Linked DNA regions of Sus scrofa. The protein of the gene in region 1 interacts with the protein of each later gene in a pairwise test. Links are inferred from orthologs where the notes say so. Each region holds a gene or a part of one and is shown on either strand. Other genes may lie near its edges.

Region 1 (3,648 bases):
GAGGCCTTCTTCCTCAGCCCCTTCAGGAAAGACCCTGACCCAGGCCTTTCTCTCCTAGGAAAAAGATGTGACTCCAGATAAGCATCTCCTGACCAAGGTGCAAGATGCAGCTCTGTGGCTGGAGGACTTGTCAGACACCAGACCCTCCAAGCCTTCCCTCTCCACCACCTCCTCCATTGCTGACTTCTTCCTTGCCTTAACCATCTGCAATTCCGTCATGGTCTCCACAACCACCGAGCCCCGGCAGAGGGTAAGGACAGTGATGGTGGGGTGGGATGGATGTGTAGAGGGGTAGAGGCAAAAGGGGAAGACCTGCACAGGGGGGACAAGATACTTTGGTCCTAGGCCCAGTGTCGCCATTTAACCACTGTGAGAACTCAAACAGACCTCTTATCCTTTCTGGGCCTCAGTGTCCTCATTTTTTAAATAAAATGGAAAAAAATTACATACAAGCTCTCTGGGTAGCTTTCACATTTTGTGTCTGTCTTCAGGGTAGATGTTAAAAGTTAATATTTACTAAGCACTTGCTATGTGCCTCCTCTCCATGCCAAACATGTCACCTGCATTATCATTTAATCCTCACAGCCCAACAACCCTATAAGATAATGTCCTTGGATTTAATAAGTGACAAAACAGTGGTTCAAAGAGCTTGAGTAACTTAAGGAATGATATATGGTTAATACATGGCAGAAACATCTGTACAGTTCTCTAATAATATCATGGTATACAGGTATCTGCTTTCTAATGGGGGTTTTAAAAAATAATTAACACCAAGTGTGAAGGTCTGCCAGTTTGGACTTAACACAGCTGGATGGCCATTTATAGAAGGTTATACTCTGAATTATTTTTCAGTACTGGAGATAGATTTATCTTCAGTTATTTGCAAACTCTCATCCAAGCTCTGTTATAAGTGAGTAATAAAAATAAATGGATGTTAAAACTTGTGGCCACAATATTAAGAAAAAGAGGGTTCAAGACTTGTAGCTGCCAAGAGGGAAGGGACAGGAATGGCATGGACTAGGAATTTGGATTAGTAGATGCAAACTATTACATTTAGAATAGATAAGCAATGGAGTCCTACCATATAGAACAGGGAACTATATTTATCAACCTCCTGGGATAGACCATGATGAAAAAAAATACTAAAAAAAGAATGTGTGTGTGTATGTGTCTGTATGACTGAGTCACTTCACTGCACAGCAAAAATTGGCACAATATTGTAAATCAACTATACTTTAATAAAATATATAAAATAAAAAAGACAAAGAGGGTTCACCCAGGTACCAAACCAGAACCTCCCATTATTACACGCCGATTCTAAACTACCCTGAAAATTTGGCAAGTTATCAGAAGTCTTTAGGGAGTTTTTGGAGGCAGGAAGTGTTATCTGAGAAATTCACCCTATTTTCAAGTGAGAAAGAATTACCATTTGGGGAAGAACAGCATCCAGTTCTCAACTTTGAAGTTAATGGAGGGGCTTTAGCTGGCAGGTATTTTGAGATCCCAGTCTGTGGAGTGAGACAGACCCAGATCCGAGTCTCAGCTCTGCTACTTACACACTGGCTGATCACAACCAATTTAAGTTCTTTATGCATCAGTTTCCCCTCATCCAGAAATTGGGAAAATGATAGTATCCCCTAGAGTTGCTGGGAGGATGAAGTAAGATGCTATATGCAAAAACAAAGCAGACAAGGCAATGGAAAGGGTTCAGGGCATGGGTCTCCTACTTAGTCTGGCTTTTGTCTCCTTTACTTTGCTTTTCCAATGATCACAGTAGAATGGTCATAAGAGAGAGGAAAATGAGCATCACCAATCCCTAGAGTTCAGGGCTGGGAGGAAACCAATGGCCTCACTCCTTCATGTTAAGAGGTGGGAGGACTTGCCCATCATCAAGGAAGGATCACCTGAACCACTGATTGGCAGAATGATCTTGTTATTCTGCCATGAGGCAGCTTGATAATTTTCCCAACCTGAAGAGGAATGTTTTCTTTTCCTCTTTCACCGCCAGGTCACTATGCCACCCTCAACTAAGGCTCTGGGGACATCCCTGGAGAAGATCCAGCAGCTGTTCCACAGGCTGAAGCTTTCAAGTCTCAGCCAGTCATTCTCATCCACTGCACCCTCCGACACAGACCTGGGGGAGAGTTTTGGGGCCAACATGCCCACCATGGACTCAGAAGAGAGAGATGATGAGTCTGTAGGTAGCGGCGGCTATTCCACCGACGGTGGCTACAGGAGCAGCACATGGGAGAAGGGTGACATTCTAGAGGTGGGAACAGGGGCCTCTCTGGAGGAGGTGCTGCAGGCCCCAGCCCTCGGCCTGGCCAGCCCAGAGCTCTGTTATGAGGCCGAGAGCCCGGATGAGGCTGCCCTGGTGCACGCTGCCCATGCTTACAGCTTCACGCTGGTGTCCCGCACGCCTGAGCAGGTGACCGTGCGCTTGCCCCAAGGCACCTGCCTCACCTTTGATGTCCTCTGCACACTGGACTTTGACTCTGTCAGGAAGAGGATGTCTGTGGTGGTGAGGCACCCGCTGACTGGTGAGATCATCGTTTACACCAAGGGCGCCGACTGCGTCATCATGGACCTGCTGGAAGACCCCGCCCATGGTGAGTCCACCTGACCCAGAGTCCAGGAGAGGAGGGCTGATAAGGGGCTGGAGTTATATAGTGTCACTCTGTCTGGAGAGTCCCACCTGGAACGCAAAACCCACAAAATGCTCTCAAAGCAGCTTCCTTAAAACCTGCTACATCTTCTCAACCTGGAGAGTTACACAGCTCATTATTAGCTTATTAAAGGCTTTAATAAGTCTTGTCATAGGGGAACCTCTTTAACTTTATCCCAGTTTCTAGTTTCCCAAACTCATTTAAATATAGACTCCCCATACAATTTTTTTTTTTCACCAGGACATCCATTAATGAATCCTAGACATACTCTGGTCCTAACTCTTAGTTTTGGAGAGAAGCCACCTGAACCCAAAGAGGGAATTGGCTTAAGAGATGGGTCCAGCTAACTAACAGTAAATGCTACATGGAGGTATCGTGAATCCCAGTTCAGAGCTCTGTCCATGCCACCAAAATTCTGCATCAAGCTCAGTTCACTCTGTGAAGCCTCAGGTGGCCCTCTTTATCATCCCTTTCCTCAGCCTCCCCCAAATGGATTTTCATAAACTTGCTCCAAGCCAGAAAAATGTTCCAAAGTCCCTCTATATCAGTGTCCAATTTTGGAGCAACATGAATTAGTGTGCAGCCGTTTCCTGACAGCTAACAAGGAGAAGACAGTTATGAGGCTATGATTCTCCCAGGATAGTAGATTCCAGCCAAGCTTTAGAATTGCCTGGGCAGCCATGTGCCTCCTGTATTATCAGCTATGGATCAGAGCCAGGAGGTTCACAAGGATTGATGAGTGTTTAGAAAGGGAAGGGAGCTAATTAGGTCTCTTCATCCCCAGACTCTGGCAGACAAGTGAATTCAGTGTTGCTGAGTCAAGGGAGACACAGCATTCTATCCCTGGGCAACAGTAATCCAAGCTGCCTCCAGAGATGTTTCTTTATTTGTTCCTCAGCTGATTCCAAAATGGATTATAGATGTGGCCAATAAAAGATACATATACATTGTTACTGTAATATTTGAGAAGCAAAGCTGGGAA
Region 2 (4,448 bases), on another chromosome or scaffold:
ATCAGTGACAAGCAAGAGTAAATGGCGTATCACACAATGCAATTAATATGTTTCTGTCTTTTCTCTTTAAACTGTGGTTGAATTTTCATGGAAATAAATAAAAAACATAGCAAAAGTAGGGTGTGTTCATGAATCTAATGAGCAACAATTCTAAAAATAATAAAAATGCAAGATGTGAAGTTTAAAAAAAAACACATATCTGGCACTTGAAGCCTATTTTCGCTCACGCCCCAGTGCTATGCCTCTGCTAAAAATACTAGTCAGAAGGCAAAGAGGGAAAACAACAAAAATTATCATAAATCCCTAAAAATTGGGAGTGTTTGTGGAATTAATTTTGCTCAGTGACTACTAAAATTTTATGTTCTTAAATTTTTAGCATTTATTCCATAATTTTATGATGAAAACTGTGTTTGTTACTTGGGGAAAATTCTGTAGATTCATGAATTTGGACAGAAATGTTTATAGGTGCCATGTCATGATTCATTTATTTTCTGGTGTTGTTTTCTTTGTATTTGTTTATGTTATTCAGGAAATTTGACTTCATCATTCACAGATTTTGTTACTTTACCAGTTTCGATTTGTATTTATTTGGACTTAGCTTTTAAAATATCAAATGTTAGGAGTTCCCTTTGTGTTGCAGTGGAAATGAATCTGACCAGGAACCAAGAGGTTGAAGGTTTGATTCCTGGCCTTGCTCAGTAGGTTAAGGATCCAGCATTGCCATGAGCTGTGGTGTAGATCACAGATGCAGCTTGGATGCTGCGTTGCTGTGGTGTATGCCGGCAGCTGTAGCTCCAATTGGACCCCTAGCCTGGGAACCTCCATATGCCACAAATGCAGCCCGAAAAAGCAAAAAAAAAAAAAAAGTTAGCTTCCTATAAGAGGCTTCCAATGTGATCAGATACTCTTAGAAGTCTTGCAGGTCTACTGTATTTTCAAAAGCAAGAGATCACACTGAAAAATTTGGGAGCTTCATTTTACTTTCACAGCATTCTCAATTTTGGCTTCTTTAAGTTGTATTAAATCCATGAGAAGTTTATTATTTTTCACCACAGCTGAGTGAATTTATGGATATGTACTTGTCTTTTATATGAATGTAACATCCTACTTTTAGTTCTTCACAGGGTATTGAAATTATTTAATCAATCAGGACATTCTCAGATTCCCATCATGACTCAGTGGTTAACGAATCCAACTAGGAACCATAAGGTTGCAGGTTCGATCCCAGGTGTTGCTCAGTGGGTTAAGGATCCGGTGTTGATGTGAGCTGTGGTGTAGGTCGCGATGCTGCTTGGATCTGGCATTGGTGTGGCTGTGGCGTGGGCCGGTGGCTACAGCTCCCATTAGACCTCTAGCCTGGGAACCTCCATATGCCTCAGGTGTGGCCTAGAAAAGACAAAAAAAAAAAAAATTAAGATTTTCTCTGTGTTATTTCCAAAGTCAGTGTTGTTGATCAAAATCCCACCAGGTGAGAAAAATAACAATTGTGACATGAAAGCATTGTGCAATATTCTTTTTTCAGTTGGAACATAATATTCATCAAATTAAAATCATTTAAAATGAGTATTTGATCTTCTTTTAAATTGTTTGCTTTAAAATAGCCATGTCTGGGAGTTCCTGCCATGGCTCAGCAGAAACGAATCCAACTAGTATCCATGAAGATATGGGTTCAATCTCTGGCCTCGCTCAGTGGGTTAAGGATCCGGTGTTGCCTTAAGCTCTTGGTGCATGTGGACCGCGCTCGGATCCTACGTTGCTATGGTTGTGGCGTAGGCTGGCAGCTGTAGCTCCAGTTGGACCCCTAACCTGGGAACCTCCATATGCCTCAGATATGGCCCTAAAAAGCAAAAAATAAAAATAAGATAGTTATGTCTGGGAATTCCTGCTGTGGCACGATGGGTTAAGGATCCAGCATTGTGCCAGGTGCGGCAAAAAGAGTCACTTCATTTCATATTTTCTTTAAACGTGGTGTTTTTCACTGTGACTAAGTAGAGGTGGTTCAGCAGATCTACCAAAATAAGAGGCACAATTCCTCAGAGTTACATCATAGTTTGAGTCCTTAGTGAGATGGAAACTGCAAGACACCAAGAGATGGAACTTGCTACAGAATTTCTTTTGCCCCTCCGCTCTTTAAATACATTGTCCATCAACATTCAGATATTTCCCACTGCATTCTGGTGTCATTCTAATGGTAGGTTACTCAGTAAAGGAAATACTGCTGAGGTTTTGCCAGCAGTCCGCCGCGGAGCTGCAGGTAATGGTTGTTAGGTAATGGTTTCAGCAAAGTGGGGGTGGGTTGATGGTGGAGTTGTGCTCTGGCTGCTTTTGTCTATCAGCCCTCTGCCAGGAATGGTGGTCCATAGGCATAGCCAGTCATAAATTATCTTTGCATTATTTGGGACAAATGAATGAGTTTTTCCTATTTATTATTTAAAGATACAAATATCAAAAAAGCAGGCAAGGCAGAGGTCTAAAAAAAGATGCCTTCCACTGGAGAGCTGCAGACATTAGAGATCTTGCCCACAGGGTGGCGCTGTGGCCTCTCTTCTTGGAGGAGCATATAGGTAAGTGCTCCATTCGTGGCTCATAGGTAACCAGCCGGCTAGGATCCCTGAGGATGCTGTGAGCTGTGGTGTAGGTTGCAGAAGTGACTCGGATCTGGCATGGTCTTGGCTGTGGCTGTGGATTTGACCCTAGCCTGGGAACTTCAGTACGCCACAGGTGCAGCCTTTAAAAAAAAAAAAAAAAAAAAAAAAAAGGGCACCAGCCCGTCCAAAATGCTGTTTATTCCGTCATTTCATGACTTCCCAGGAGAAGGGGGGTGGGGTTCTCAGGATTTCCACAATATTTGGCTCAAATGGATTTACTCCTGTTGAGCCCTGGCCTGGAGTCACTTTTGATGAGAACTGGTTTTTCTCATGGGTAGAGAAACTGGAGTAACTTTCTTGGGCCCCAAGTTTGTAGGTAATAGGGCACACTGCCCCCTATTCCTTTCTTTTTTGAATGTCACTAAAATCTACTTTTGAAATTTGTATTCACTGAATCCCAAGGAACCCATGAAAGATGTTAAGTCCTGAGACCTCTCTTTAACGGGGGCAACCCTTAGTGACTGTGTGGTTCTGGGCAGAACAACCCAATCCGCAGATAGTGGTTGGAACCCAGTTCCCTGGAAGACATAGATGATTTTTTCAGTCCTCCTTTAGTTTTCTCCAGCGTTATTTCTGGCATTTCTTTCAGAGACAGGTATATTTGAGGAGAAAATCTCTTCTTCTTTCTCTTCAGAAGCCATTTATCCTGTTCTGCCTCCTGTTGACCAGCATTGGTGTACAAAGCTCTCTCCCTAGTTTGGTGGTTAGCGTCTCCAAGGCAGGACTTGTGTGTTGCTCACAGTGAAACACTAGCTGCATAAATGTTTGTAAAGGATAATGTAATTCCTTCTTCCAGCTGCCATGTCTCTTCCTTGCATCTTCACAGAACCATTCCATGGTTCTCAGTTTTGGTCTCTCTGGCTCCCACTGCATATCTCTTTTCCTCCCTGAGAGCAAGTAATATGCACAGTCAAAATGGCAGGGTGTCTTGTAGGCACTTAGTAATTTACTCCTAATCCCAAAGGGAGAGACCCCAGCAGTAAGACCCCAGGTTTTCTTCACAAAATTGGGTAGTCTGCTGTTTCTTCCCTTGCCTCTATGCTCATTTTAAGGTTTCATATATGAAGTATCTGGGTTAAACAAGACAAGACTCTCCATAATCATGGATTCTAAAGGAAGATATGCTCTCTGCAAGGATCAAGGGCCCTCATCAGATCACTAGATGGTCTATACAACAATAGCAAGAGAGCTAAGCACCAGTTCCCAGGCAGAGCATCAGTGCAAGTAGGAAGTGGGACAATGGACTAAACAAGCAAACAAACTGAGTATCTCCCAAAAGTGGAAGTTACCAGAGATCTCTGTTTCCAAGGCAACAGCAACCTGCTAAGATCTTGCTTGAGAATAAGAACATGATTAGCCAGGGTATACAGTTTTGCAAATCATTAATGATAAGTGTAGCATGAGGTTCAACTTTCTCTGTATCCCTTTATTTCTGATTCTATTCTTTCCTGGGTGGAAAACCAAAATATCACTCAGATCTTAGGATCTGTTTCCTCACAGTTTAATTTTTGACGTCATAAAGAGGACAAGGCGTGGTACCTGCTCAGACCCCCTGGGCACACACGTCTTCTATGGCACTGACCTCATTATATTTCAATTGTTTGATGGCAGGTTGTATTTCTCACTAAAATGGTAGTTCATTGAGAGTAGGTCAGATTAGTTCAACAAGGTTTACTGAATATCTTTTATGTCCTAGGCACTTTGCCAGATCTTGGAAATGTAGAAATGAATAAAAATGTCTCTGACTTTGAGAAGCTTGTATCTAGTAGAAAAGATGAACAGATATTTTTCAGTACCATG

The links. The genes of interacting proteins can lie anywhere in the genome.
Region 2: the proteins of ATP10B (region 1) and TMEM30A interact in a protein complementation assay, tested with the Homo sapiens proteins (2 studies listed by IntAct, with this or other methods). The link is inferred for Sus scrofa from reciprocal best matches to the Homo sapiens genes ATP10B and TMEM30A.

What each region holds. Positions count from the first base shown.
Region 1 is NC_010458.4:62,854,558-62,858,205, forward strand, and holds part of ATP10B (probable phospholipid-transporting ATPase VB), read left to right. Parts: intron 1-58; coding exon 59-250; intron 251-2,008; coding exon 2,009-2,609; intron 2,610-3,648. UniProt on the Homo sapiens protein: Catalytic component of a P4-ATPase flippase complex, which catalyzes the hydrolysis of ATP coupled to the transport of glucosylceramide (GlcCer) from the outer to the inner leaflet of lysosome membranes.
Region 2 is NC_010443.5:90,637,709-90,642,156, forward strand, and holds the start of TMEM30A (cell cycle control protein 50A), read left to right. Parts: upstream 1-1,562; 5' UTR 1,563-4,448. UniProt on the Homo sapiens protein: Accessory component of a P4-ATPase flippase complex which catalyzes the hydrolysis of ATP coupled to the transport of aminophospholipids from the outer to the inner leaflet of various membranes and ensures the maintenance of asymmetric distribution of phospholipids.